3 linked regions of the Anolis sagrei genome follow. The protein of the gene in region 2 purifies or fractionates together with the protein of the main gene of each other region. This does not show direct contact. Links are inferred from orthologs where the notes say so. Each region holds a gene or a part of one and is shown on either strand. Other genes may lie near its edges. The genes, in order: SPAG9, RCCD1 and KDM8.

The links.
Region 1: the proteins of RCCD1 (region 2) and SPAG9 purify together in Homo sapiens (affinity purification with mass spectrometry; 3 studies listed by BioGRID and IntAct, counting the BioPlex papers as one, with this or other methods). This does not show direct contact. The link is inferred for Anolis sagrei from reciprocal best matches to the Homo sapiens genes RCCD1 and SPAG9.
Region 3: the proteins of RCCD1 (region 2) and KDM8 purify together in Homo sapiens (co-immunoprecipitation; 3 studies listed by BioGRID and IntAct, counting the BioPlex papers as one, with this or other methods). This does not show direct contact. The link is inferred for Anolis sagrei from reciprocal best matches to the Homo sapiens genes RCCD1 and KDM8.

What each region holds. Positions count from the first base shown.
Region 1 is NC_090022.1:114,443,431-114,453,357, forward strand, and holds the start of SPAG9 (C-Jun-amino-terminal kinase-interacting protein 4), read left to right. Parts: upstream 1-5,589; 5' UTR 5,590-5,768; coding exon 5,769-6,074; intron 6,075-9,927. UniProt on the Homo sapiens protein: The JNK-interacting protein (JIP) group of scaffold proteins selectively mediates JNK signaling by aggregating specific components of the MAPK cascade to form a functional JNK signaling module.
Region 2 is NC_090029.1:22,676,890-22,687,006, forward strand, and holds the start of RCCD1 (RCC1 domain-containing protein 1), read left to right. Parts: upstream 1-6,261; 5' UTR 6,262-6,297; coding exon 6,298-6,694; intron 6,695-10,117. Other genes in the region: UNC45A (protein unc-45 homolog A), read left to right, coding at 759-1,022. UniProt on the Homo sapiens protein: Plays a role in transcriptional repression of satellite repeats, possibly by regulating H3K36 methylation levels in centromeric regions together with KDM8.
Region 3 is NC_090034.1:22,510,209-22,520,260, reverse strand, and holds the start of KDM8 (bifunctional peptidase and arginyl-hydroxylase JMJD5), read right to left. Parts: upstream 4,738-10,052; 5' UTR 4,632-4,737; coding exon 4,560-4,631; intron 2,553-4,559; coding exon 2,034-2,552; intron 331-2,033; coding exon 164-330; intron 36-163; coding exon 1-35. UniProt on the Homo sapiens protein: Bifunctional enzyme that acts both as an endopeptidase and 2-oxoglutarate-dependent monooxygenase.

The sequences.
Region 1 (9,927 bases), on a different chromosome or scaffold from region 2:
GGGTCAATTCATTGTCATAAGTTGTGTGATCTTCTTCCACTTGCTGCTCACTGATCAAATGCTTGGTCCCATAACCAGGTCTTGATTTTCCTATCTATGGTGAAGATGGTGGGAATTGTATTTCAGCAACATCTGCAGTGACATAAGTTGCTCACCTAGGCTATCACCGTAAGAGGAAGTACTATTCCCTACATTTTTTGGGATGCTTCTATATTACATGGAGGAAGGGAGACCATGTATTATGTTCTACATCAGACCTGCACAACCTGTGGCCTGCCAGAAGCCCTAGTCAGCTTCTCCGAGGACTGTGCCAGTTAGACCCGGGAGGAGAAAGGCTTTTTCAGTTATTAAATCTTACTGTCTTAGTGTCCTCCATCTATTCCCTGCACAACCAGTTCACTGTCCAAGGAGTTAGGATGATAGTATGACAGCTGGGACCCAGAGCTGCTATTGTTTTGCTGTTTCCGGAACGGTGCTTCGGGAATGCTGATTGCGGAACGCAGGCGCGGGAGGATACCACTGAAGTAATTCAACGCAGGGGGACACACAGATAAACACTGAAGGAATGTAACAGTTCTTTCATGACAAATGATAAACAGCAGTTTGGGAAACGGTTCGGGAAGATTTTCAACGGGATAGAAATCAGCAATCTGACCCAAAAGATTATTAATCCCTTCCATGTTCTTCTCAGCCCACATCCAGGCTGTCCACAAACTGGAGGGCGTTGCGCAATAATTCTACATCCCTGCAAAAAACTCACGGCCAGCTCTATTGTCCAAAACTCCTCAATAAAGTGGATTAGATTGATTTTACACCACTCCTCGTATTTCTCCCCTCCTTTCTATCCTTCCTTCTATTGCAACTACGAACTATCTTCCCGACTTTGTCCCCTCTGTGTTTCTCAGTCTGCCCCCTCTCACAACCACGTGGTCGGACATGTGTTTCCTTCCCTCATTCACAACCGCTGTTGCGCTATCAGCGTAACACTAGCAGCACTGGGTCCCAGCTATCATACTATCACTGCAGTTACATTGTGTGGGGGCAGAACAGCCATAGATTGTGCAAGCCTATTCTACATTGCCGACATAGCATTCATATTGTCACTATGCAATAACTAGGGGTGTTGCTGCATGGATTTAGGGGGTGGGGATAGTGTTTAGCAAATGACAACGTAACTGGCATTTGATAATGGAGTTGTCTTAGAGTTGTGGGTTCAAAGTATTGCTGTACTTGCTTTCCAAACAGCACAGTCTTTATTTCTTGGTCGCTGCTGGGAGTGCACTGAAATACATCTTCCTTAAGCTGGTCCAGAGGCTGTCTGGCACACAGAGATCATAGGATCAACCTCTCCAAGGCAAATGCCCTTAAATAGCCCTAGTGAATGACTGCTTGTAAGGCACCTTGACCCATGATTATGTTCTTACTCAATGATTAAATTTTACTCTGAATCATGAAAGGAAACATTTCCAGGAATTTATATCTCATGTTATCCTTACATGATTTCTTACTACAGAACAAATCTCGTACAATGTTGCACTTTGGGCATGGTCGAAGGAAACATGATCCTTTCCTTCAGCTATCACCAACATACGTATATTTTGCCCAAAAGCATGTGACAGTAAATATTCATGTTTCCTGCTTACCAGCTTGGAAATTTTAGAATAGAGGTCTATAGTTTATTAGGAAGGTATCAATTTATTTAAGCCACACAATTAATCCAAGTGGTTTCTAAATCTGGGTAAAATGATAAACTCCCAACAATAGGACTCAAGTTCTAAGGTGGACAGTAACATCTGGAAGGCTGCGGTTTGTTCTGTTTAGCTAGGATAGTGAGGTTTGTGGATATGATGTCTGACTGTAAAATGTTCTTTAACCTTTCCACAACCTCAGAGCCACAAGTGCTGTTGGGATACAACTCCCATTATCCCCAATCTGCATGGGGGAATCACAAAAGTGATGGGAGCTGTAGTTCAATAACATCTGGACACACAAAATGAGTAAAAACCGAAGAGCGCCTAAGTAAAGGTAAAGGTTTCCACTGACATTGAGTCTAGGCATGTCTGACTCTGGGGTGCTGCTCATCTTCATTTCTAAGCCAAAGAACCGTCGTTGTCCATAGATGCCTCCAAGGTCATGTGGCTGGCATGACTGCACAGAGAGCCATTACCTTCCCACAGAAGCGGTACCTATTGATCTCACATTTACATGTTTTTGAACTGCTAGGTTGGCAGAAGCTGGGGCAAACAGCGTGAACTCACCTGACTCCCTGGATTCGAACTGTTGACCTTTCAGTCAGCAAGTTCAGCAGCTCAGCGGTTTAACCCACTGCACCACCAAGAGGCTCGAAGAGCACCTACCACTATAATATATATATATATATAGTTGACCCTCTATATCCATGGATTCTCAAACTAACAGCAATTTGAAGGCAACCATAAGGCTGAAGTGGCCCTCAGTGAAAATATGTTTGATAGCCCTTGTCATGCTCTAGGACTTGGTATATTCACTGACATGCATTTGTGATACTGTGTCTGCCTTTGTAGTTTGACCCTCTTGGCTTTCTATACCTCTAGATGTGGTGTAATAGCTCCTCCTTTCTCTATCAGTGCTATACTTGTTCTGAAGAGAAAACATGCCTGCTAAGCTCCTGGGAATTTCTAATTTTTCACTTACTGTTGTATTATTTTTGACAAGGTTTACCTGGATTAAAGCATCTGGAACCTTAGCTTCGTCTCTTCATTTGAGTTGAACACTGTCTGACAACATATATCTGGTGTAAGTACTGGTTAAATAGAGATAGCTACAGGACACTCCCACAACCTTACACTCACAGCCAAGCTATTGAGTCAGAATAGCCCTGCTCTAAAGGCGTCAACTCCCACCTGAAACTAAACAGAGTCATGTCAAGTGATTACTTGGACGGGTGGCTACTCACAAACCCATCCAATTTTGCTTTGATTGAGGAAACTGAAATGAATGAGATTGCCAGAAGTTGAGAGGTGACTTGAAGGCATAGAGCAGTGTTTCTCAACCTGGGGGTTGGACCCCTGGGGGGGGGGGAGGGGTCACGAAGGTGGTTACAGAGAGGTCACCAAAGACCATCAGAAAGCACAGTATTTTCTGTTGGCCATGGGAGTTCTGTGTGGAAAGTTTGGCCCAATTCTATTGTTGGTGGGGTTCAGAATGCTCTTTGATTGTAGGTGAACTATAAATCTCAGCAACTACAACACCCAAATGTCAAGGTCTAATTTCCCCAAACTCCACCAGTGTTCACAATTAGGCTTATTGGGTATCTATGCCAAGTTTGGTCCAGATCCATCATGGTTTGAGTCTGCAGTGCTCCCTGGATGTAGGTGAACTACAACTCTAAGACTTAAGGTCAATGCCCACCAAACCCTTCCAGTATTTTCTTTTGGTCATGGGAGTCCTGTGTGCCAAGTTTGGTTCAATTCCATTGTTGGTGGAGTTCTGAATGTTCTTTGATTGTAGGTGAACTGTAAATCCCAGCAACTACGACTCCCAAATGACAAAATCAATCCCCCCCAACCTAACCTGTATTCAAATTTGGGCATATCAGGTTATCAGGTATTTGTGTAAAATTTGGTGTAGTGAATAAAAATACATCCTGCATATCAGATATTTACATTATGATTCATAACAGTAGCAAAATTGCAATTATGAAGTAGCAACAAAAATAATTTCATGGTTGGGAGTCCCCACAACATGCTGAACTGTATTAAGAGGTTGTGGTTTTAGGAAGGTTGAAAATCACTGCTCTAACAATTGGACTCAAGTTCTAAGGTGGACAGGAACATCAGGAAGGCTGTAGTTTCCCCCCCGTTTAGCCAGGATAGTAGGGCTTGTGGATATAGTGCCTGACTATAAAATGTCCTTTAACCTTTCCACAACCTCAGAGGCGCAAGTGCTGTTGGGATGCAATTCCCATTATCCTTAGTCTAAATGGGGGTGGGGGAGGGTAATCTAAAGTGATGAGGGCTGTAGTTCAATGATATAATAATATAATATAATGTAATACAATATAATAATATGATATTATAATTATATATTTTATATTACGTGTAATATTACTAATAATAGTACTGGGACTGTGGTGCAGCTGGCTGGGAGTTAGCTACATTAAAGATCACTACTGACTGAAAGGTCATGAGTTTGAAGCCAGCCTGGGTCAGAGTCAGCTTCCGACCAATTTGTGTAGCTTGCTGTCGACCTTTGCAGCCTGAAAGACAGTTGCATCTGTCAAGTAGGAAATTTAGGTATCGTGTATGCGGGGAGGCTAATTTAACTAATTTATGATGCCATAAAAATCTCCAGCAAGCATGCACAGAATGAGGAAGTACTTCATCAGTGTCACAAATGGACAGTGAAGTGACAGCTCCCCTGGTGGCCAGAATACCCTCATCAAAAGCTGGAATGTTAAATAGCCTCTGTGTGTCTGTCTATATATGTTGTGTGTCTATGGCATTTAATGTTTGCCATGTATATATATATTGTAATCCGCCCTAAGTCCCCTGCGGGGTGAGAAGGGCAGAATATAAATAGTGTAAATAAATAAATAATATAATGGTATAGTACAATATTGTAATATATAATACGGACATTGTACTTGCTAATAATATAATATATTGTATGTATATGTATCTTGTAAGCTGCTTTGAGTCCCCTTCGGGGTGAGAAAGGCGGCATATAAATGTTGCAAATAAATAAATAAATGAAATTTGCACACCCAAAATGAGAAAAAAACCTGAAGAAATGCCTAACATCATGTGTGTGTGTGTGTGTGTGTGTGTGTGTGTGATATATATATATATATATATATATATATAGGCCCCCTGTACCTATGTACGTCCAACAGACTTTTAAAGGCAACCATAAGATCGATTTTTTTTCCACAGTGAAAATGTGTTTGATAGCCCTAAAGGCTTCAACTCCCACCTGAAACCAAACAGAGTCATGTCTGGTGATTACCTGGATGGGCGGCCACTCACAAAACCACCCAATGTTGCTTTGTCCGAGAAAACTGAATTGAACGGGGTTGCCATTCTCTGACAGGTGCCTTGAAGGCATACAGAGTATAAACAGGTCGAGTCTTTGCTTGTGGAGACTGGGATGCAGCAGCCTTTCTGATGGGTCTCCGAGGGCTCCCCTGCCCTTCTCCCTCTCTGACAAGACTTGGCCCTCTTTGACACTGGCAGCTATGTCAGAAACACAGGAAGGACGGGGAAGACCCTCACAGGCCTCCGTCCAAAGGGCCTCACGTCTCCCAAACACACTTTTTGTGGGGAACCTGAGACAGGTTGGAGGGGGAGAGTGCTGCTCAGGAAGCACAGAGGTATAAACCAGCAGATACTCCAATTTGGGAGCATTCCGGCTCTCCTGAAAAGCGGGACGACGTCGACGCCTCCCTGTCCTAGTTCTCTCCTCGGCCCCGCCCTTCGCGGCGTGACGTCAGGCAGCGTCGACGCTCCGCCCCCGCTTGGCGCCCCACTAGGAGCGCGAGCTGGCGCGTCGGCCCCGCCCACTGCAACGTCACTGCCCCGCGCCCCCACCCTCCCTCCGCCCCGGCGCCGTGGGTGAGGTCAGTGCTGCGCGCCTGTCAGCCAGGCTTCCTTCCTTCCTTCCTGTTTGCGCGGAGGGGGAGCCGAGGCCCCGCCGCAGAGGGAGAGGCGCTGCTGCTTGTTGCCACCGCCGGGCCCTCTCCCGCCTCCGAAGGCCGCCCTCCTCGCCTCCCGCCCCTGCGCTCGGCAGCCATGGAGCTGGCGGACGGCGTGGTCTACCAGGAGGACCCCGGCGGTCCCGGCCCGGCCATGATGTCGGAGCGGGTGTCCGGCCTGGCGGGCTCCATCTACCGCGAGTTCGAGCGGCTCATCGGGCGCTACGACGAGGAGGTGGTGGCCGAGCTGATGCCGCTGGTGGTGGCCGTGCTGGAGAACCTGGACTCGGTCTGCGCCCACAGCCAGGAGACCAGCGTGGAGCTGGAGCTGCTGCGCGACGACAACGAGCAGCTCCTCACCCAGTACGAGCGCGAGAAGGCCCTGCGGAAACAGGCCGAGGAGGTGAGCCCGGGGCCGAGGGGGGGGGGGGGAGAAAGGGGGGCCTTCGGGGTGCCGGTCTGGGCGGAAGGGCCCCTCCTTCAAGGTGGGAGAAGGGCAAGAAGGGAGCCTTGGTGGAAACGAAGCCCAACGGGTTCACCGTCCCGGCCTTGACTGTGGCGAAGGTAGACCTGATGCTGCCCTGGGAAGCTCTGCAACTTCGTATTGTCGAAAGATTTCATGGCCGGAATCATTGGGTTGCTGTGAGTTTTCCGGGCTGTACGGCTATGTTCCAGAAGCATTCTCTCCTGACGTTTCTCCCACATCCATGGCAGGCATCCACAGAAGTTGTGAGGTTTGTTGGAAACTAGGAAAGTGGGGTTTATATATCTGTAAAATGTCCAGGGTGGGAGAAAGAACTCTTGTCTGCTTGAGGCAAGTGTGAATGTTGCAATTGGCCGCCTTGATTAGCATGTAATGGCCTTGCAGCTTTGTTCTGTTAGAAATGTAATATAATTTGACTGGTTGTCCTGACACGACAAATAAATAGGTTCAAAGCCTGGCCCTATTTGATTCTTGTCAGGAATTCCCCTGCTTTTCCCCCACTGTGGACATTCCACAGATATATAAACCTCACATGCATAGTTCCAACAGGCCCTCTCAATCTCTGAGGAGGCCTGTCATAGATGTGGGCGAAACCTCAGGACAGAATGCTTCTGGAACATTGCCATACAGCCTAGTAAATTCACAGCAACCCTCTGCAACTTTGTTTGCAACAGATTTTGGCCTCATAAGATCGAGAGAGACCTGGCCCTGCTTTTAAGAGAAGCCACGTCACAGAGCCGAGAGAAGCCTCCTTGCTCCTCGGACCCAGCCTAAGAGTTCGCACTGCCCCACCTTGGCCTGAGGGCATCATGTCTTGTGGGCCTGTCAGAGAGTTGGTAGGCTGCTAGGTTCAGATTTCTGGAGGAACACCTGGCTAAGAGGGGTCTGCTGGAAAAGTTCTGTTGATCTCTTTCAGGGCTTCTTTTCAGGAGCACCTGACGGGCTTTAGTGATTCGTAACTGTTACATGCAAACCATGCAGCATTAAGAAAAATAGAAAGGGATGCTTTGGTAGGGGTTGGTAATGTCTGGAATCAGGCAGCCTTCAGGGCTGACAACTTTTAACAAATCTGTCAAAGCAACAGGTAGTGTAAGAAGCATTCTTCATTGAAGTTCCAAAGTATTAAATACCAGTAGTAAGTGCCACATCATTAATTCAGTTTTTAATGTAACATTTGAGAACTATATCATGTACATTGAAAAATAAAATTATTACTGTCTGCATTGTCTATGTGTTGGGTCACAGCATTTTTAGAAATTGAGTAGATGTACCTTTTTTATAATATAGCTAATTTGAAGCAAATATGCAACACTTTAAGCCTGCTATTTTTCTCCTGCAGGACAAAAACCAGCTTGGCTGGTGGGAAGGTTTTGAATAAATAAATGGCAAGTGGAGAATGGATTAAGGAGTTTGTTACTCCCATAGCTCTTCAGGGCATCTTCTAGTTAAATAACACCCTATGCTGATGAAAAGAATCATACTATTTAGTGTTAGCCATAGCTTAGTCTTTGCCAGGGCACAAACTGGATGCATACAGTTCCAGTTTCAGTTGCTGCCACATCCAGTTTAATGTCCCTGGTGGTTGAATAAAAACCCTGACCAGCTGTTGAGCTCATATGCTTCTCACATGGTTTTTGTTTACTCTAAGTAATGCATTTTATAGGCCTGAAAGCAGAAGTAATATTTCCTTATTGTGGTGTAGTTAGTTTTGTTTTCAGTCTAGAAAAGAGAAGGAAATGTTCTGCATATGGTTCACACAAGGAAATTCCATAAATCTGGTTGTTCATTTAATGGTTCTGGTGTTTACAAATAGGAAATACTTTTCTAGATTTAGTGTGCCATATTGAAAATGAAAAAAAAAAATTGGCCTACATATCTCCTTTGACAGGTAGTAAAATGCCAAAACGTAACTAGATTAAAGTTCATAACTTAAGTAGCCTTCTCTATACTTTATTGATGAATTCACCAATGACTATGTTGTAGCTGCCTTTTTAGGTTCTATCTGCTCATTTGTAAACTTTTTTTTTCCGGTTGCAAGATGGCTTGTAAAATCTGTGACAGTTAAGGTTCATATATTTTAAAAACCATAAAGAAAAAAAGTGTTGCAATTAAACACATTAAACATAAAGCTGGTGATTATAATTACTGACTCTGCTTTCTTTGTTGTTCACCTTTGCCTATTTGCAAGCATTTCAAATTTATACTGGCAGTAAAATATGAATAATAATAATGATGATGATGATTTTATTTCTGTCCCATCTTTCTCCCTATAGGGACTCAAGGTGGCTAACAATACATGACACAACCCAATAAAATTTAAAACAAGGCAAATACATAAAAACAATTAAATATTTGTGTCATGGCTATAAGATTAAAATACAATAAAATATAATTAAAATTACATTTAAAGTTCAACATATCACCAAATCCCAAAAAGTCTCTAGGCCATGTCATTTTTTCCTGTTTTACTATTGTGTTATGTCATCATTATAGACGATTACTTGTGACAGAGTATGATTCGTCTTCCAAGAGTAAAGTCCGTAAGTGACTGTGAAAATTTAGTCTGAATCTGTATGGTCTTTTGCCTTGAGGACATCAATATCCAGATTTAAGGTTGTCACAACAAGTGTTTGCTTGACACTCCTTCCTCTTGGCACGTTTCTTCCTTTCATCCCCTATTTGTACCTCTTCAAAATCCATAGCATTATTGGTAACAGCTGGCCCCCAGTCAGAATTCTCTAGAGCAGTGGTTCTCAACCTGTGTCCCCAGGTGTTCTGGCCTTCAACTCCTAGAAATCCTAACAGCTGGTAAACTGGCTGGGATTTCTGGGAGTTGAAGGCCAAAAGACCTGGGGACACACGTTGAGAACCACGGCTCTAGAGCCAAGGCTTCCCAGTTCTCGTTGTTTATACCACATTTTTGTAAGTTAACTTTAAGCCCATGTTTAAATCTCTTTTGCTATCCACCAACATTCAGTTTTCCATTGTTGAGTTGAGAGTAAAGTAACTACTTTGGAAGACGTGATCGGGCATTCTGACAATTTGACAGTCCTGCAAAGTTGATGGCAGAGGATCATTGCTTCAGTGCTAGTGGTTTTTGCTTCTTCCAGAATGCTTATATGTGCAGGAGTTAGCATTGAGTGGACTTCTAGAAGGGAGAATAGTTGATAAACAGTAATGTTGGGTTTTGTCCTAAATGGAATTGCCCACTGTTGGGCTAATTTTTGCTTGCTTGTGCAGTCTTGATAGAAGCAAAAATCTATCCATTTTTGAGGTGTGCCTCTGCAACCTTTGGTACGAATGGAAAAACTATATCTGTATTGAGCAAAATTTGAAAATATGGTTGTGATATAGAGTATTAATATATTGTTATATGTCAGAAATAGCCATTGAAAACTTTTTTCAGTGGTGTCAGTTGTGCATCTTTTGGCACCTAGTGCATTATATTTACAACGATTTGTTGCTTACCCTTAGGACTCAACCAATCACATGCTTTGTATACAGAGGCCTGTGCATCATAACAAGGGTTTCAAAATATGTTGGGAAACATATTGGAGACCATGAGGTTACTGATACTTATAACAGTTGGACTGAGGAAAATGGGAAGATGTCTTGGAGAAATGTTGATTGTATATATTATTGTACAGTATGACACCAGTGTCCAAGAGGAATACAGTGCTTGCATGGAAACAAGAGACCTGGCTAATAGTGAGCTCTATAGAAATGAACAACTTCTGCCAGAAATTATTATAGAGTGAGCCTGGAGGACTTG
Region 2 (10,117 bases):
GTTCTGCACCACGGGTTTTAGTTGATCAGAGTAGAGTAAACATGCACACAAACAAACCAAACTTTTCTCTCTTTCCTTCACTTTTCCCTTCCAGCTCTGTCCTTTAAGTTGATGCCGCTCTGTTCCAAAACAATTCTGTTTTCCAAAACAATTGTCCTTGGCTTCACTTTCCCATCTCTTCTAGGTTATTCTTCGCCTTTTCCATACACTTCTCTTACCGCCCTGCAATGCTGTCTTTCTCCAGTTCCTTTGCTCCTTTCACTCCTCCCCTCTCTTTAACTCATTCTCAAAACCTTATAAAATTCACACTTGTAAAATCTCAATCTCTTTACTACTGTTGCCACTCATAAGCCCCCACCCCCCTTTTCCTGGCTCCTTCCTGTGAAAAGAGGGCTTTGCTGGAGAAGCAGAAAGAGACCGACCTTGTGGAGACAAAATGTGGGGTATAAGTAAACATAATAATAATAATAATAATAATAATTATTATTATTATTATTATTATTATAATTGTTATTATAGGGAACTGTCCAACGTTTGATCAAATACAACAGCCAGCAGAGTGATCTTGTGTGTTGTGGACTCATCTTGTTGTATTTCAAATAGTAATAATAATAATAATAATAATAGCATATAGATTTCGTTTGCTGTGACATACTGTGCTTTTGTGTCAATAATAATGATAATGATAATAATATTAATAATAATAATCCTACCTCATCTCATTTCCTTCCTCACTCTCCCCCCCCCCCCCCCCCAAGACTGAGGCTTGGCTGGAGATCCTGCAGGCCCTCCTGCTCAGCCCCAACAGTGCCCTCCAGCACCGGGGTGCAGTGGTCGCCAGGAACATGGTGGCGGCAGACAAGGAGCTGGCAGCGAAGCTGATGGAGACGGAGACGATGGAGATCCTGTCGGCCCTCTGCGGCCTGAAGGACCAGCCCCGGGTGGCCCAAGTGGCCCAGGACTGCATGGCGCAGGCCGTGAGCCTTGGGTTGATCAAGCCGGGTGCCAATGCCGGGGAGTGAGAGAGGGCATCGCATTGGAGGGGTGGGGGCACAAACACTGTGGGGAAGGGGCTTTTTGCATGCCCGGCAGTGGGAAACAGGGGGCCCACACTTCCTGGTCAGGCACTGGCCATGCCTTTTGCTTCTTTACCTTCTTTGCTACCTCCTCACCTGCACTTTGGGGCCATTGTGTTGGGGCTCAGTGAGTCCCTAGTACCTATTTGTTCCAATTATAGGGGATCCAAAATACAGCTTTATTTCTGATCAGAGCAAAACTTGAGGGTGACCAGCAAATGAAAGAAATTGCGCCACCCAATCTGAGATGCAGCTCAGTCCTTTGTATAGTCAGAAGCAAAAACCTGCGCATGAAGCTTTGTTTTTCTTATTTAAAATCTGTTCCATGTATCCTTCTCTCTCTGGTGCCTTTTATCTAACCTTTTACAGCCATTCCTCGCAACGATCCCCCTCCTTTCTTCTTTCCTTCTTGCGCTTCCTCTCTCTGGGCCATAAAAGTCCTTTGAAACCCTTTTACCTACTCTCACCTCTTCTCAATTCCATATCTGAGGCCCTTTCTACACTGCCATATATATTTATATTTATTTAGTATATTTCCATCCCGCTCTCTCTCACCCCGCAGGGGACTCTGAGCGGCTTACAATATGGCAATATTCAGTTCCGCACATTCAACAACCGACAGTACAATACATCATATAGCAATAAAAACATATAAACACCATAAAGTTGTTAAAATATGTCCTAAAGTTGCCATTTGTGTGCTACATTGTGCTGATTCCGTATTGCACACCCCAAACGCCTGATTCCAAAGCCAGGTCTTCACTCGTTTCCTGAAAATCAGGAGGGAGGGGGCCAGTCTGATATCACTGGCGAGGTAGTCCCATAGCTGAGAAGCCACCACTGAGAAAGCCCTGTCTCTCATCCCCACCAGCTGTGCTTGTGATGGGTGTGGGACCAAGAGCAGGGCTTCTCTTGCAGATCTTAACTCTCTAACCCAATGGCTCTCAACCTGTGGGTCCCCAGATGTTTTGACCTTCAACTACCATATATCCTAATAGCTGGTAAGCTGGCTGGGATTTCTGGGAGTTGTAGGCCAAAATACCTGAGGACCCACAGGTTGAGAACTACTGCTCTAAATGGTTCATAGGGAGGGATATGTTTGGACAGGTAAGTTGACTGGAGCTGTTTAGGGCTTTATAGGCCAAAGCCAGCACTTTGAATTATGCTTGGTAGCAGACTGGCATCCAGTGGAGCAGACGTAGCAAGGGGGTTGTATGCTCCCTGTATGTTGCTCCAATGAGCAGCCTGGTTGCTGCCCGTTGGACTACTTGGAGCTTCCGAATAGTCTTCAAAGGCAGCCCCATGTAGAATGCATTGCAGTAGTCTATTTGAGATGTAACAAGAATGTGGACCACCAATAGCCAAATTATCTGCTTTGAACTGGATTATATGGCAGTGTAGAAGGGGCCTAAGACTCCTGCTGTGCTCTGTTTTATTTAGTGAAGAGTTTCAGCTTTCTTTTCAACTTGTCCAGTTCCCTCTTTCCTGTCTCAGTCTTCCATTTCGAAACTTTCTTATAACATCTTTTAAAAATCCATATTTATTAAATTTCATTCTCCCCAGTTGCATGGAGGGGTTCCCCCCTCATTGCTGCACTGGCCCCCCATTTCCTCCCAGTTTTGGCTTCTTGCATTCCTTGGCTACTAAGCATTCCTTGTGGCTAGCCCTGGTTTATTTATTGCATATTGCTGATGGGGGCAAAGGGAGCAGGGCTGGCCTCTTTTCCTGTAATGTGGATTTTGCTCATTTCTCCAAAGACTGATATGAAATGTATATGAATATGCAATGGGGGTGGCAGTGTGAGACGGGACCCAAGTGCCTGCTTCTTTTGGTGCCCAATGGCCTCGAATAGGGAGGAACACAAGAGCTTCACAAACAAAGCACAAAATATGCTACAGGCAAATGCACTGTGACAAAGTTGGTTGGTCGGGAACAGTTTACAGGCCGTCGAGGTGCAAGATTCCTTGTGAAATATGTATAACTATCTCTTTGTTTACAGAGGCCTTCAGTCTGTCTTGGAAACACAAATAAAGGGGCACTTTTTTGCACAATCGCGGGGCTTTGTCTCTTTGGGTCTGAAAGGGTTACGTTGCAACTTAACAAAATTTGAAAAAATATTCTGTGCCTGGTTTGAAAGTGTTATTTCCTATTTAAATGTGCGGTCCTTACTTTGAAAGAGTTGCTCAACTCGCAGAAACATTGTTTTTGTGTAATCAATTAGAAAGGATCCCGAAAGGTCATCTAGTCCAAGCCCTTTCTGCCAAGTAGGAGGACACAATCCAATCCCTCCCAATATATGGCCCTCCAGCCCCATAATAGCAGTTTTATGGAAGCCATAGCCACAGAATCCTCAAATTGGGACCCCCAAAGGTCATTCAGCCTGACCCCCTGCTTTCTGCCACGCAGAGGCACCAGCAAAGCCCTCCCAGCAGATGGCCAACTCAGGCCTGTGATAGAACCAATTATAATATAATATATTGTATATACATATAACATTGAAAATATTATAATGTAATACAATATAATACTAAAATATGATATCATAATTATATATGTTATGTTACATCACGGGCGGCTCAACCCATTACGCAAAGTAAGCATTTGCAGTATAGTTGATTTTGCCCAGGGGCGCTCTTGAGGCGCTCTTGGGGGGAAATAGACCTTGACATATGCATGTATAGTTCACCTACAATCAATGAGGATTCTGAACTCCACCAATGATGGAATTGAACCAAATATGGCACACAGAATTCCCACGACGAACAGAAAATATATATCAGTAATTGGTTTGGGGGGGGGGGGCAAAATACTGTCTGCTTACCATTGAAAATTACCTAGGGTAATTACATGTAATATTACATGTATTACATGTAATATTACTAATATTACAGTATAATGGTTTAGTGCAATATAGTAATATATAACATTAATGTGCTATGGTAATAATATAATATATTGTATATACATATTATATTGATAATATAATGTAATACAATATACTTATAATATAATTATATATGTTATATTACATGTAATATTACATTATAATGGTATAGTGCAATATAGTAATATATAATACTAATATTGTGCTATGGTAATAATATAATATACTAGTTGTCCCCTGTCACACGTTGCTGTGGTTCAGTCTGTTGGTCTAGAAAATAAAGTAATTAGAAAGTGTTGATTTCTAATATATGTAATTTCTTTATGCTTGTGGGTAAATGGTATTTCTTGCTATTTCTTTGTCAATGTTGATGTGGAGAGTGTCTGGTTTGCCCACCCTGGAACATGGAACATATCATTCTCCTTCTTTAAGGGTCCCTTTCAAATCTATGATACTATATATGTGTGTGAATATCTATCTATCTATGGCTGGATGGCTCTTTATCAGGAGGACTTTGATTATGTTTTCTTGCCCTGATGAAGGGAGTTGGACTGGATGGCCTTAAGTATTTTCTGTTGGTCATGGGGGTTCTGTGTGGGAAGTTTGCCCCAATTCTGTTGTTTGCGGTGTTCAGAATGCTCTTTGATTGTAGGTGAACTGTGAATCCCCAGTGACTACAACTCCCAAATGTCAAGGTCTATTTCCCCCAAACTCCATCTGTGTTCACATTTGGGCGTATTGAGTGCTTGTGCCAAGTTTGGTCCAGATCCATCATTGTTTGAGTCCACAGTGCTCTCTGGATGTAGATGAACTACAACTCCCAAACTCAAGGTCAATGCCCACCAAACCCTTCCAGTCTTTTCTGTTGGTCATGGGAGTTCTGCGTGCCAAGTTTGGTTCAATTCCATCGTTGGTGGGGTTCAGAATGCTCTTTGATTGTAGGTGAACTATAAATCCCAGCAACTACAACTCCCAAATGACAAAATCATAATTTTTTGAGTGATGGCCACTCCTTGTGTTGTGAGACGTTTTGTTGCCAAATTTGGTGTGATTTCGTTCATTGGTTCTTTTTGTTTTTAAGGTACTCATTATGCACAGAGCATTTATATATAGATACTAGCTTTACCTGCCACGCATTGCTGTGGCCAACCTTCTCTCCCTCTTTCTCTCCTTCTTTCAGTCCTTCCTTAATTTCCTTTTCTTCTTTCCTTTCTTCCTTCTCTACCTGTTTACTTCCTTCCTTAGCTTTTTGCTCCCATCCTTCCTTCTCTTTATTTCTTTCCTTCCCTCTCTCTTTCTCTCCTTCTTTCTCTTCTTCCTTTGCTCCGTCTTTCCTCCCTTCCCTTTTTCTTTCCTTCTCTCCTCCTTCCTTCTCTTCCCCTTTCCTTCCTCCTCCCTTTTTATTTTCCTTCCTCTTTCTCTCCTTTTTCCCCTCTCTATCTCTTTCCTTCCTTCCTTCGCTCTTGACTTCCAGTCTTCCTTTCCTTTCTTTCTTTTCTTCCCTCCCTTTCTCTTCTTCCTTCGCTTTTTTCCCTCTCTTCCCCTTTCTTTTCCTCCGTCCTTCCTTTCTCCCTTCTTTCCCATCCTACTTCTCTGTATTCTTTCTTTCCTACCTTTCTTCTTTCATATACCTTCTCAGCTTCCCTCGTTCCTTCCTTTCTTTCCTTGCTTCCTTTCTCCGTTCGCGCAGCATCCTGGCCCCCAGCAAGCAGGCCGCGTTCTAGAACTACAGTTCCCAGAGTGCATTGCGTGTGTACTTCCTCCCCTGGGCACTGCGCATACTCAGTTGGTTTTTGTAATTGTGAGCTTGTTGAAATGTTGTTTGGAATTTTGATGAGTGTTGTGCATACCTTGTGGGTTGAGGTATGTGCACGGCAAATTTGGTGAGTTTTCGTTGCGGAGTTTTCGCGTTTTGGTGTCCCATTGAACACCCTTTCCATTTTTATATAGATAGATAGATAATGTTTACATATTACTTGTAAGCTGCTCTGAGTCCCCTTCAGGGTGAGAAGGGCGGCATATAGATAATAAATAACTAAATTAGGAAATAATAACATTTATCACCCAGGTACAACAATCCTAGTCTTCCATACTGTCATTATTATGGATTTGTGGGCAAGGTTTCCTCCTCTGAAGTCATTTAGGGACCGCCCCCTTTGGGTGAGCGAAGCCCCGCCCAGGGGGCGTGCCACATAGTAGGCCACGCCCCCATCCCAATCTTCAAGTGCGGCTCACTTCCGCCTTTGAGGAAGCCCCGCCCAGAAAGAATACGTCATGCAGTAGGCTCCGCCCAGAGAGAGTGCGTCACGCAGTGGCCCCGCCCCCACTTCCGGCAAGATGGCGGCCCCCTGGAAGGGTGCGTGGTTCCGCTTTGGGTTCGGCTGGGAAGCGTGGCAAGGCCCGGAGGCGACGCTGGAACCGCAGCCGCTGCGGGAGGAGGAAGAAGGGGCCGTGCTTCGCGTGAGGCCCGGGTGGAGCCTGGTGGCCCTTACCGCCGCGGAGGGTTCGGTGGAGCTGCGCGGATTCGGCGGCGGCGCCTCACTCCAGCTCCCGGGCGACTGCGTGGCGGCACTTCCGGGAGAGGGCCACGTGGTGTTGGCGCGCAAGGCGGCCCTGGAGGCGTGGGCCGTGAGGGGAGCCGGGAAGGGGCGCCGCCTGGAGCTGGACCCGCAATGGAGGAGGCCCCTCGCGCCCACAGAAGCCCTAGGCCTTGCCCGCCAGGAACGCCAAGGCGGTGAGGAGGGAGGGGAAGGGGAACCCCGAGGGCATCCAGCCCGGCCCCATCACAGAATCAAAGAGTTGGAAGAGACCTCATGGGCCATCCAGTCCAACCCCATTCTGCCAAGAAGCAGGAACATTGCATTCAAATCACCCCTGACAGATGGCCATCCAGCCTCTGTTTAAAAGCTTCCAAAGAAGGAGCCTCCACCACACTCCGGGGCAGAGAGTTCCACTGCTGAACGGCTCTCACAGTCAGGAAGTTCTTCCTCGAGTTCAGATGTAATCTCCTTTCTTGTAGTTTGAAGCCATTGTTCCGCGTCCTAGTCTCCAAGGAAGCAGAAAACAAGCTTGCTCCCTCCTCCCTGTGGCTTCCTCTCACATATGTATACATGGCTATCATATCTCCTCTCAGCCTTCTCTTCTTCAGGCTGAACATGCCCAGCTCCTTAAGCCGCTCTTCATAGGGCTTGTTCTCCAGACCTTTTATCATTTTAGTCGCCCTCCTCTGGACACATTCCAGCCTGTCAATATCTCTCTTGAATTGTGGTGCCCAGAATTGGACACAATATTCCAGGTGTGGTCTAACCAAAGCAGAATAGAGCATGGGTAGCATTACTTCCTTAGATCTAGACACTATACTCCTATTGATGCAGGTCAAAATCCCATTGACTTTTTTTGTCGCCACATCACATTGTTGGCTCATGTTTAACTTGTCCACGAGGACTCCAAGATCTTTTTCACACGTACTGCTCTCGAGCCAGGCATTGTCACCCATTCTGTATCTTTGCATTTCGTTTTTCCTGCCAAAGTGGAGTATCTTGCATTTGTCACTGTTGAATTCAGAGCCCTCCCTCTCGCCAGCCCCTGCTTTATTTGTCGTGTCAGGACAACCAGTCAAATTATATTACATTTCTAACAAAACAAAGCAAACAAACAGACAAAATACAAAATTTGTGAGTTTGGTAATTGATTAGATGTCCTTTGACCAGTATCTGGCCACTTGGAGTACTTCTGGTGTTGCTGCAAGAAGGTCCTCCATGGTGCATGTGGCTGGGCTCAGGTTGCATTGCAGCAGGTGGTCAGTGGTTTGCTCTTCTCCGCACTCGCATGTCGTGGATTCCACTTTGTAGCCCCATTGCTGAAGGTTGGCTCTGCATCTCGTGGTGCCAGAGCGCAGTCTGTTCAGCACCTTCCAAGTCGCCCAGTCCTTTGTGTGCCCAGGGGGGAGTCTCTCATTTGGTATCAGCCATTGGTTGAGGTGCTGGGTTTGAGCCTGCCACTTTTGGACTCTCGCTTGCTGAGGTGTTCCAGCGAGTGTCTCTGTAGATCTTAGAAAACTATGTCTAGATTTAAGTCATTGGCGTGCTGGCTGATACCCAAACGGGATGAGCTGGAGACGTCACTGCCTTGGTCCTTTCACTATTGACTGCTACTTCCTGGTGGATTTCAGGTGGTGCAATAATGGCTAGACAGTGTAATTTCTCCAGTGGTGTAGGGCGCAGACACCCTGTGATAATGTGGCATGTCTCATTAAGAGCCACATCCACTGTTTTAGTGTGGTGAGATGTGTTCCACACTGGGCATGCATACTCAGCAGCAGAATAGCTCAGTGCAAGGGCAGATGTCTTCACTGTATCTGGTTGTGATCCCCAGGTTGTGCCAGTCAGCTTTCGTATGATATTGTTTCTAGCACCCACTTTTTGCTTGATGTTCAGGCAGTGCTTCTTGTAGGTAAGAGCACGGTCCAGAGTGACTCCCAGGTATTTGGGTGCGCTGCAATGCTCCAGTGGGATTCCTTCCCAGGTGATCTTCAAAGCTCGGGATGTTTCTCTGTTCTTGAGATGAAAGGCACAGAAGCGAAGAAGAAGCCCCTGCTGAAGAATAATAATAATAATACAATCCTACAGTGGGAAGGGATCCCCAAAGGTCATCCAGTCCAACCTCCTGCCTTCATGCAGGAAGAGCACCATTAAAGCCCTCCCAACAGATGGCCCTCCAGTCTAGCTCCCTCCTGGCAGGAAAGAAGGCACAATCAAAGCCCTCCCGACAAATCGCCGTCCAGCTTTTTTTTTTTTTTTGGTCGTGTCAGGAGCGACTTGAGAAACTGCAAGTCGCTTCTGGTGTGAGAGAATTGGCTGTCTGCAAGGACGTTGCCCAGGGGACATTGCCCGGATGATTTGATGCCCAGCTGCTGAAGCATCATGATAATAATAGGATCCCAGAGTTGGAAAGGGCCCCCAAAGGCCATCGAGTCTAGCTCCATTCTGCTGGGGAGGAAGGCACCATCAAAGCACTCCCTGCAGGTGGCCGTCCAGCCCCTGAATAATAATAATAATAATAATAATAATGATGATGATGATGATGATGATGATGGGATCTTCATGCATTATTCGCCAATACATCACCCAGTCCTAGACACTTGGGAAGTGTCCGATGTGTGATCTAATTCAACAGCCAGCAGAGTGTCTGCTGTGGACACATCTTGTTGTGTTTCAAGTAATAATAAAAGTTGGAAGGGTCCCCCAAAGGCCATCCAGTCTAGCCTCCTGCCAGAAAGTAAGGCACCATCAAAGCCTTCCCAACATGCCTATGCCTGCCTCCTGCTTAATAATAATAATAATAATAGGATCCTCAGAGTTGGAAGGTATCCCCAAAGGCCATCCAGTCCAACCTCCTTCCGCCAGGAAGGTAGGCACCATCAAAGCCCTCCCTGTAGATGGCAGTCCAGCCCCTGAATAATAATAATAATAGAAGTTGGAAGGGCTCCCCAAAGGCCATGCAGTCCAGCCCCTTTCTGCCAGAAAGGAAGACACCATCAAAGCCCTCCCAGCAGTTCTATGCCTGCCTCCTGCTTAATAATAATAATAGGATCCTCAGAGTTGGAAGGAATCCCCAGAGGCCATCCAGTGCAGCCTCCTCCTGCCTTCATGCAGGCAAAACACAGTCAAATCCCTCCCTGCAGATGGCCATCCAGCCCCTGAATACTACTACTACTACTACTACTACTAATAATAATAATAATAATAGAAACCTCAGAGTTGGAAGGGATCCCCAGAGGCCATGCAGTCCAGCCTCCTGCCTTCATGCAGGAAAAGCACCATCAAAGCTCTCACTTCAAATGGCTGTCCAGCCCCTGCTTAATAATAATAATCCTAGAGTTGAAGGGACCCTTCCGCCAGAAAGGAAGGTACTACCAAAGTCCTCCCGACAGATGGACATCCAATCCCTGCTTCAAGGCCTCCAGAGACTCCACTGGACCCATATTCTGGGGCTGAGCAGACCATAAGGATGCTTCCTGATCTTTAGACAGAATGTTTTTTCTCCCATTTAGACCCATGGCTCCATTGGGTCCCAGTCTCTGGAGCAGCAGAAATCAACCCTTGCCCCTTTCTCTTCAATATGAAAACCTTTTGAATATTCAGACCTGGCTCTGTGT
Region 3 (10,052 bases), on a different chromosome or scaffold from region 2:
TCCGGCTGCCGGCCACTTGCCGCAGGTATGCTACGCTGCAACGGAGAGAAGCCCCATTAATGTCACCTGGGGATCTCCTCCAGCCCCCAAAACACTTGTAAGGCAACGGGGCTGAAGCTACCTGAGCTGGAATTTATCAAAGGGCACCCCACCTGTTGCTCACCTCCACTTCTTCATGCAGGGCCAGTGGCTCACAATCCCCTCCAGGACCAGGGGCTTCTGGGGGACCAGGTAGTGGTCCCGGAAGTGCTCCAGCGATGGGCAGAGAAGGTATGGAATAGATGCCTCGCTCTTCATGGCGGGCCTCACAGGAAACTCCCTCTGGATCTTCTGCAGCAGGGAGCCAAAACAAGAAGAGTAATTTAAGCTGGGGTTCTGAGGCTTGCAATGCTCTGCTCAGAGATCATTTCCACTGCCCATTGAAGGGGTACAGAGCTAAAAAGAGGACCTGGAAAGGGAAGGGGAACAATTTTAAGTGGTGGATTTTAAATCCACATTTCATCAGTGGATTTTATCTTGTATTTTATCTCTTGTATGTCCTTTAAGTGTCTTATTTCTTGCTTTCACAATATTTTGCCCTGTTTCAAGCTGCAGGGAGAGGCAAGTAATACATTTCTGATTATGATCACTCTATTTACTCGAATCTAATGCTCACCTTTTTTTAAGCTAAATTACCTCTCCAAAATGAGGATGTACATTAGATTCGCATCATACAATCATCTTAGTGCTGAGCCAAAGCCAAAGTGGAAGCTGCTTCAGGAGCAACTGCAGCTCCTATATGAGGGACCTCATCTCCAATTTAATGGTCCTGGTTCTATGGGATCTTGGGATTTGTAGTTTGGTGAGGCATCCACATTATTTGGCAGAGCAGACTCGAGAACTTGTCAAACTACAACTCCCAGGATTCCATAGCATTGAACTAAGGCAATTAAAGTGGATTCATTCTACATGGCTGGAAGTTTTGGTGTTCTAACACTTTTTGTTTTTAAAGAAGGAATTCTGAGCAGGCAGCAACTGCAATGCACACAATTTTTGGCCAAATTATAAAGGGTTTAATTTTTGTACCTGTGCATTACATTTAGCAACAAATGTTTTTTTTTGTTTTTTTTTTTGTGGTTTGTTTCAGGGTTTTGGCAATTTGAGGTGTGCATTATATTTAATGATGCATTCACCTTGAGTAAATATGGGTGTTGTGATGTGGTTTTTGGGTTAGATGGCCACATTCTAGCAGCATCTTCTCCTGATGTTTTATCTGGATCTGGCTGGCCTCATCAGAGGTTCTGTTGTCAATGAGACAAGTGCAGTGTATATATTCCGATAGAATAATGTCCAGGGTGGGAGAAAGAACCCTTGTTTGTTTGAAGTAAGTGTGAATGTTGCAGTTAACAAGCTTTAATTAGTATTTGAGTAGCCATGAAGTTTGCAAAGTCAATCAATGAGCCATTGAAATCCACAAGTATGTGGACAAGTCCAACAAAAAGGAGAAAAACAAGGAAATTAACAAAATCCGGTTACCAGTATTAAAAGAAACACCAGAATTAAGACAGTAAATAATGACCACCACTCAGAAACAACTTCAGACAGCAAGCAATCAAGGTCCAGTTAACACCTCCCAAACAGAGGATGCCTCTAGGCAACAGAGGCCAGGCTACCTCTGTATATACCCTCACTGATGGACTTTGCAATCTTCATGGTTACTCAACTGCCAAGTCAAGCTTGCTAATTCCAACATTCACACTTACTTTAAACAGACAAGGGTTCTTTCTCCCACCTGGACATTATTCCACACTTAAATATACACTCCACTTGCTTCACTGCAAACAGAACCTCTGAAGATGCCATTAGCCACAGATGCAGGTGAAACATCAGGAGAGAATGCTGCCATAACACGGCCATACTGTCCAGGAGCCACACAACACCCTAGTGATTTTGGCTGTGAAACCCTTCGGCAATACAGGGAGGGAGGCATCTCAGCCGTGCTAAGGTGAGCCCCTGCTCCCAGCTTGAGGCTGGCCAAACTGTAAGTGCTGTACCTTGGGAGGGGGGGCTCCTTCCTCCTCCTTCTCTTTGTCCACTTCAAGGCCATGCAGGTGCCGCTGGAGGAGGCCAACCACCCTCTGCAAGGCGTCTCCCGGGAGTGGAGCTCCCAGGAGCAGGCCCAAGTCGCACTGGCGCAGGGCTTGGAGGGGTCCGCCCTGGGTGTCTTGGCAGCAGAGTCCCAGGGCACGGAGGAGGCATCCCCAGGCAAAGGCCTTGCGCCAGGTCCCCCGCACCTCCCTCCAAGGCCCCATGTTCAGCCGCTCCCAGCAAAAGTCGCAGGCTGCGCTGCTCAGGAACAAGAGGCGCCCAAGGCTGGGGTCCCCAGGTGGGAGCGGGCCCAGGAGCAACCCAGCCCCTTCCTCCAGTAGCCAGGTTACAGCAGGGTCCACCTCCTCTGAAGGGCCCAGGTCAAGGGTCAGGCCCTCCTTTGGAAGTAGTGCCAGCAGCGAGGGCCAAAGTGCAGGGGAGCCACCATCGCTCCTCTCCGGGGAACACGGGGCTCCTTCTTCTCCCTGGAAAAGAGAAAGAAAAGGGCCAGGGAAGGAAGATAGAAGGATAATTTGTTAATAGAGCCCTAGTACCTGCTAAGTAAATTTGAATTATTGTATAGAATGAATATATATACAGTAGAGTCTCACTTATCCAACTGTCACTCATCCAACATTCTGTATTATCCAACACAGTTTGCCTCCCAGCTGGATCCACGGCTGTTTCAATACATTGCGATGTTTTGGGGCTAAATTAGTAAATACAGTAATTACTACATAATGTTACCATGTATCGAACTGCTTTTTATGTCAATGTGTTGTAAAACATGATGTTTTGGTGCATAATTTGTAAAATCATAATGTAATTTGATGTTTAATAGGCTTTTCCTTAATCCCTCCTTATTATCCAACATGTTCGCTTATCCAGCGTTCTGCCGGCCCCTTTATGTTGACTAAGTCAGACTCTACTGTGTGTGTGTATTATTTTATTATCACGGATTCTTAATACATTTTCATCACATTATTTACACTTATTTCAGTTAGGTGCAGATATACATAAACCTTTTGTGCAAACATTTGTGATTCCAATTATTAGTATTTACACTGATTTTCGTTTGATGAAAGTACATCTAGGACATTTTGTACTTTTGTATTTTATATATCCTTTATTAACATTTACTACTATATTTTAAGCAAATATAATCTAACAGGAACAATCGAGAAGAACGTTTAAGAAGAAAAATAGGAGAAGAAATATGGAACAAGACAGAAAACATAAGAAGGTGATTCAGGAAGATAAGACTATTTGGTTCTATAGAAAGTAATATTCCCCTATTTGTTATGGAGGATAGATCAAACTTGCAAAACTTTAGCATCTCAAGTAATGAGTGTTATGGTAATAGAGACTCAGAACTAGATGTAACACAGCCAAATGTTATATGTTGTCTTCTATGTGATTTTCCTACTCATTGATTCACTAGATCAGTGTTTCTCACCCTTCCTAATGCCACAACCCCTTAATGCAGTTCCTCATATTGTGGTAACCCCTAACCATAAAATTATTTTCGTTGCTACTTCATAACTAATTTTGCTACTGAATCGTAATATAAATACCTGATATGCAGGTATTTGCACCCACTGCAAATTTGGCACAAATACCCGTTATGCCTAAATTTAATTGGGGGCGGTGTTGATTTTGTCATTTGGGAGTTGTAGTTGCAGGGAGTTATAGTTCACCTAAAATCAAAGAGCATTCTGAACTCCACCAATGATGGAATTGAACCAAACTTGGCACACAGAACTCCCATGACCAACAGAAAATACTGGAAGGGTTTGGTGGGCATTGACCTTGAGTTTGAGAGTTGTAGTTCACCTACATCCAGAGAGCACTGTGGACACAAACAATGACGGATCTGGACCAAACTTGGCACGAATACTCAGAATGCCCAAATGAGAACACTGGTGGAGTTTGGGGGAAATAGACCTTGACATTTGGGAGTTGTGGTTGCTGGGGTTTATAGTTCACCTACAATCAAAGAGCATTCTGAATTCACCAACTTGGCACACTGAACTCCCACGACCAACAGAAAATACTGGAAGAGTTTGGTGGGCATTGACCTTGAGTTTTGGAGTTGTAGTTCACCTACATTCAGAGAGCACTGTGGACACAAACAATGATAGGCCTGGACCAGACTTGGCACGAATATTCAATATGCCCAAATGTGTACACTGGTGGAGTTTAGGGAAAATAGACCTTGACATTTGGGAGTTGTGGTTGCTGGGATTTATAGTTCACCTACACTCAAAGAGCCCCTTTCTGATGGTCTTTGGCGACCTCTCTGAAAGCCCCTTCGCGACCCCCAGGTTGAGAAACACTGTACTAGATATTAATTAATATAAGGAGAGAGGGAACAAAAATGAAAGAGAGAGAGATGGGGAAAGAGCTACGGGGAAAGAGAAGGGTCAGAATGGGCCAAAGGCGAAACCAAGCCTCTTCCCTCCCTCTTGCCAGCGGCCTTCGTGTGCTCATGCCTCTTTCTCCGGGCTTCTTCGGAGAGTGGTCGGGGTCTCCCTGGCTTCCGACACAGGAGGTGTTTCCTCCATGGTGTCCCGCTCGAAGACCTAAGATGAGAGTCATTCCATTTTATTGACGTTTATGGGCGTCCTTCCTCATTCGCGCATGCGCAGTTCCCGAGTAGTAAAAAGACCTGATGTCGTTTGGGCCGGCCTTCCCTCCCAGCGCGCATGCGCGAGGCCTGGGTTAACACCCAGCCCTCCAGGTGTTTTGGACTACAACTCCCACAATTCCTAACAGCCTACCGGCTGTTAGGAATTGTGGGAGTTGTAGTCCAAAACACCTGGAGGGCCCAAATTGGCCCAAGCCTGGGTTAGAAGGTGCACTGCATGGAGCAAACTGCAAAGGGATTCCTTTTTCTTATTTATGAATGAAGATCTGCTGAGCTCCATCAAAGTGATGTTTGGAAAAGGAAAGGGATGAATATTTGAGATAGCGCTGGAAACAGTAATACATTTTTTTTTATTACCCGCCTCTCCTGATGGCTGGAGGCAGAGTACAAGAAATTCGAAAACAAACGAAGATAAAAAATACAATAAATTACTAAATTACATAGACAAACACACACACATAGGCAGGCACAAGTTTATTGTTTGTTGTTTATTCGTTCAGTCGCTTCCAACTCTTTGTGACCTCATGGACCAGCCCACGCCAGAGCTCCCTGTCGACCCTGGCCTCCCCCAGCTCCTTCAAAGTCAAGACAGTCACTTCAAGGATACCATCCATCCATCTTGCCCTTGGTCGGCCCTCGGCCCCTCTTCCTTTTGCCTTCCATTTCCCCCAGCATCATTGTCTTCTCTAAGCTTTCCTGTCTTCTCATGATGTGGCCAAAGTACTTCATCTTTGCCCCTTAGGCCCCTTTGCCCCTTAGCATAAAAGGAGGATGCCAGCGGAGGACCAGTCATACAGCACCATTCAAGACAGCCAAAGAAGACCTTGGGATAGTGGTTCTCAGCCTATGGGTCCCCAGGCGTTTTGGCCTGCAGCTCCCAGAAATCCCAGCCAAGTTATCAGCTATTAGGAATTTTGGGAATTGAGGTCCGGTGCATCTGGGGACCCATGGGTTGGGAGGCACTGCCTTCGGATCATGACAAGGGAAGGGGGAGGCCCTAGTAGGGTGCTTAAAGGATTGGTACAATGTGTTATCTGTGTATGGGGTTATTATGGTTTAATATGTTTAATGGTTTAAATGGTATTAAATGCTTATTGTTTCTAGTGATTTTATGTTATGTTTTATATGGTTTGTGTACCAAGGCATTGAATTTTTGCCTAGATGTATGTTGTATGCTGCTCTGAGTCCCCCGAGGGGTGAGAAGAGCAGGATAGAAATGAATTAAATAAATAATTGGATCTTGTCACGGTCCAAGGCACTCTCAGAATTTTCCTCCAACACCACAGTTCAAAAGCATCTATCTTCCTTTGTTCAGCCTTCCTTATGGTCCGGCTCTCGCATCCATAGGTTACTATGGCGAATACCATTGCTTTAACTATGTGGATCTTCGTTGTCAGTGTGATGTCTCTACTCTTCACTATTTTATCTGGAACACCTCAGTAAGCGAGAGTCCAAAAGAGGCAGGCTCAAACCCAAAACCTCAATCAATGGCTGATACCAAATGAGAGACTCCCCCCTGGGCACACAGAAAACTGGGCGACTTGGAAGGCGCTGAACAGACTGCGTTCTGGCACCACGAGATGCAGAGCCAACCTGAAGAAATGGGGCTACAAAGTGGAATCCACGACATGCGAGTGTGGAGAAGAGCAAACCACTGACCACCTGCTGCAATGCAACCTGAGCCCCGCCACATGCACAATGGAGGACCTCCTTGCAGCAACACCAGAGGCACTCCAAGTGGCCAGACACTGGTCAAAGGACATTTAATCAACTACCAAGCTTGCAAACTCTGTTTTGTCTATTTGTTAAAAATTTGTTAAAAATGTAATACAATTGTCTGGTTGTTGCTCTCCTCCCAAGAAGAAAACATCTACTGATTTCCTGGCTGCAGTCTGCATCTGCAGTAATCTTCACACCTACAAATACAAAGCCTGACACTTTGTATCAGATACTGAGTAATATCTGTTGCGCATCAAGCGGATCTTAGCCACGTCTCATGCACAAGACACACAGACCAGAGGAAAAATGAACAGAAAAATCTTTACTCTTAATAGCAGAGATGAAACACAAACTTGCAATGTTGCATACAAAAACAAACTGCAAGAAACTTACATAGTCTCTGTGAGTAACACAAAATAAGGCATCTTCATCTTAAGTCAAATGAGAGAGCAAAACATAGATCTTGAGTAAACGGCTATTCCACCATAGCCTCCTTTAGAGCAGCATAACAGCGTTCCTCAAAGAAAAAACTCTCCAGTACTGTATTGTAAAAACTCATACAGTTATACCCTATCGGATGTGGCCCAAGCTTGCTGGTTGGCCTACATTACCAGCTGCACATAATAATTACCATCATAAAGTTTTCCTTCAACACACACACACACACTTGGTTCTGCTACAACTTACTGTAACAATATCTGGTTACTAATATTAAAAACACCAGAATCAAGACAGTAATAAAGCACACCACTCAGAAATAGGCATTCCGGACAGCAAACAACCAAGTGCCAGTTAACACTTTCCAAACATAGGATGCGTCCAAGCAACAGAGGCCTGGCTACCTCTATGCAGATACTCCCACTGATTGACTTTACAGCTGCGAGGCAATTCAATGCTAATCAAGCTTGCTAATTGCAACATTCACACTTGCTTTAAACAGACAAGGGTTCTTTCTCTCACCCTGGACCTTCCACAGTATATATACTCCAATTGCTTCACTGCCAACAGAACCTCTGAAGATGCCATTAGCCACAGATGCAGGCAAAACATCAGGAGAGAATGCTACTGGAACATGGCCATTCTGCCAGAAAAACTCACAGCAACCCAAGATAGGTTCTATAGGTTTGTTCTTAAGTTGAATTTGTATGTAAGTCAGGACAGGTACATTTTTTCAGTACCTTCTCACAAACGCCAACAAACCCAGATCGAAGCCTGGTCACTTTCTCTCTCTCCAGCCCAACCTGGGGCATATTTTCAAAAGACAGCATCTGTTTGCTTGTATCCATTTATGTGTCATTCTTCCCCTGGCAAGGCTTTCCGGGTGACTCATAGCCAGCCGTATGGGCTTGTGGTCCAAGAAGCGGGGGGGGGGGGGGGGGACACATCCAGCCACATAGGGAAGGCAATGGGGCCAAAGGGGTACTCACCCCTGGCAAAGAACAGACAGTAAACGTTAAAGAATGGTCACAATGAGCAACCCCCCCTTTAGGCTGGGGAGGGGTGGATGGGATGTGTGCATCTGAGTTGCTCCCCTTGCATTTTGGAGTGGGGGGGGGCATTCAGGAGAGGGGTCTGTAATGACCAGGATGTCCCTGTCACCCTCTTCTTATTTTGTGTTTTTATCTGCACCGCCATCTGCTCCAAGGAGAACGGCAGATGTCGGGTCGTGCAAATGGCTCAGTTGTGTACTTTCATGTCGAACAACATATTGTCATAATTTCTCTGGTATTATGGGGTGGAACAATGAGGCCCATGGTAAGGTGACATCAGTCCCAATGTTTTTCTGGGGACGGGGGAAAGAAAAGGGAAGCCTTCTCCATCATCATCATCATTGTCATCATCGTCGTCATCATCATCACCATCATCCTGTCTTTGTTAAGTTTTCTGAAAGAGCTGGGTATGTTTTAGCCTGCAGAAGAGAAAGTTGAGAGGAGACATGAGAGCCATGTATAAATATGTGAAAGCATGCCATAAGGAAGAGGGAGGAGTCTTGTTTTCTGCTGCCTTGGAGACCATGACTCGGAAGAATGGGTTCAAATTATAGAAAGGAGATTCCACTAAAACATTAGGAAGAACTTCCTGACTGTAAGAACTGTTCAGCAGTGAAACGCTCTGCCCCAGAGTCCGGTGGAAGCTCCTACCTTGGAAACTTTTAAACAGAGGCTGTATGGCAATCTGTCAGGGGTCCTTTGATTGTGCTCTTCCTGAATGGCAGGGGGTTTGTCTAGATGGCTTAGGTGGTCTCTCCCAACTCTATTATTCTATTATTCCAGAGAGAGGATCTGCCTACACAGCTCCCTCCTCTGCCAGGATGGCCTCGCTCTGATCTACATTTCTTCCCACTTTCCTCCCATCCATTGCCAGGTCCAGGGCTGTCCTGGCTACTTTCCACTGATTGCCTCCTATATGGATCCATCCAGCCTCCTTTGACACTTTCATGGCCATTTTAGATGGGGCCAAGCCCCCCAAGGAACCAGCGCTGGGCCTCCCTTAGTCTGTGCTCTACTCTTGCTGCAGAGAGCCGTTCTGGTCTTTTCTGCCACTGTATGGCCCTCCCTATGAGCCCCCCACCTCTTGCAGCGTCTCTTTACTCTTACTTTTGAGACCCAGAGCCATGTTTGCACAGAGTTCCTGGGTCCCTTGACTTTGGCGTCTTTTGCTGTGTTTTAAAAACACTGCCAGCATCTGCATGTACCACAAATTAAATTAGGCTTGGATTTTATTATCCCTTTTATTTAATTTATCTTAACTGTTGCTTTCAAGCTGTGAACCAGCTGTTGCCTGTAGAAAAAAAGAATTTTAATTTGATAGGCGCCTTTTAAAGCGTCCCTATAAATGAAGTAAGTAATCACCATGGCCAAGCATGGAGTTGTTTTTTTTTAGGGGGGGGGGGAGCTATGGCCAGACCTCTTCCCTTGAATAATTGTGGCCATAGTTTGGGCAGGACCAAGGCTGGACTAATGGCTCATCAAGAGGTGGCCACTTACTAGCCACAGAGTTCTCTGGGTTTCAGAGAAGGTGCTGCCTTTGACCCCAGGGCCCCGACGGTGCTGATATGTGTCTCTCCTTAACATTTGGACACTGTCCCCACAAAACCACTCCATTGGGCCTTTATCTGAATGCGGATGTTCCCTGCCTCTCTACCTCCTTCCCATCTGAAGCACAGAGGCTCCAAATCAGTGCTTGGAATTGGAAATGTACCAGCTGGAAGTAAACAAATGGGAATTAAATCTGGGCAGAGGAGAGATTTTTTTGGGAGGGCTCTTCCGCATCTCACCCCATAGAAATGTATGCCTCTGGAGTGGAAGCCAGCATGTTCTGTAGGAAGGCAGGATTGCTGGGCAACCCTCGGCCCTGCCCAGTGCGTCTGTTCTGGGCAACACAAACTGGAGACATAAAGTGTAATGCCGTTTGAATTCCCAATGAGGTGTTCCCAGCAGACAGGGGAAATGACAGTAACATGGACATAACAATTGATAGACTTCACTGCCTATGGGGGTGCTTCAGTCCTCTCCACTGCCCTCTGTAAAGCCTCATTTGTCCCTTCTCTCTGAGACTGAGACTGGTCTGGATGAGGCTGCCATCCCATCCTAGAAGCCTTGGGCTCTCTCTATAGAGT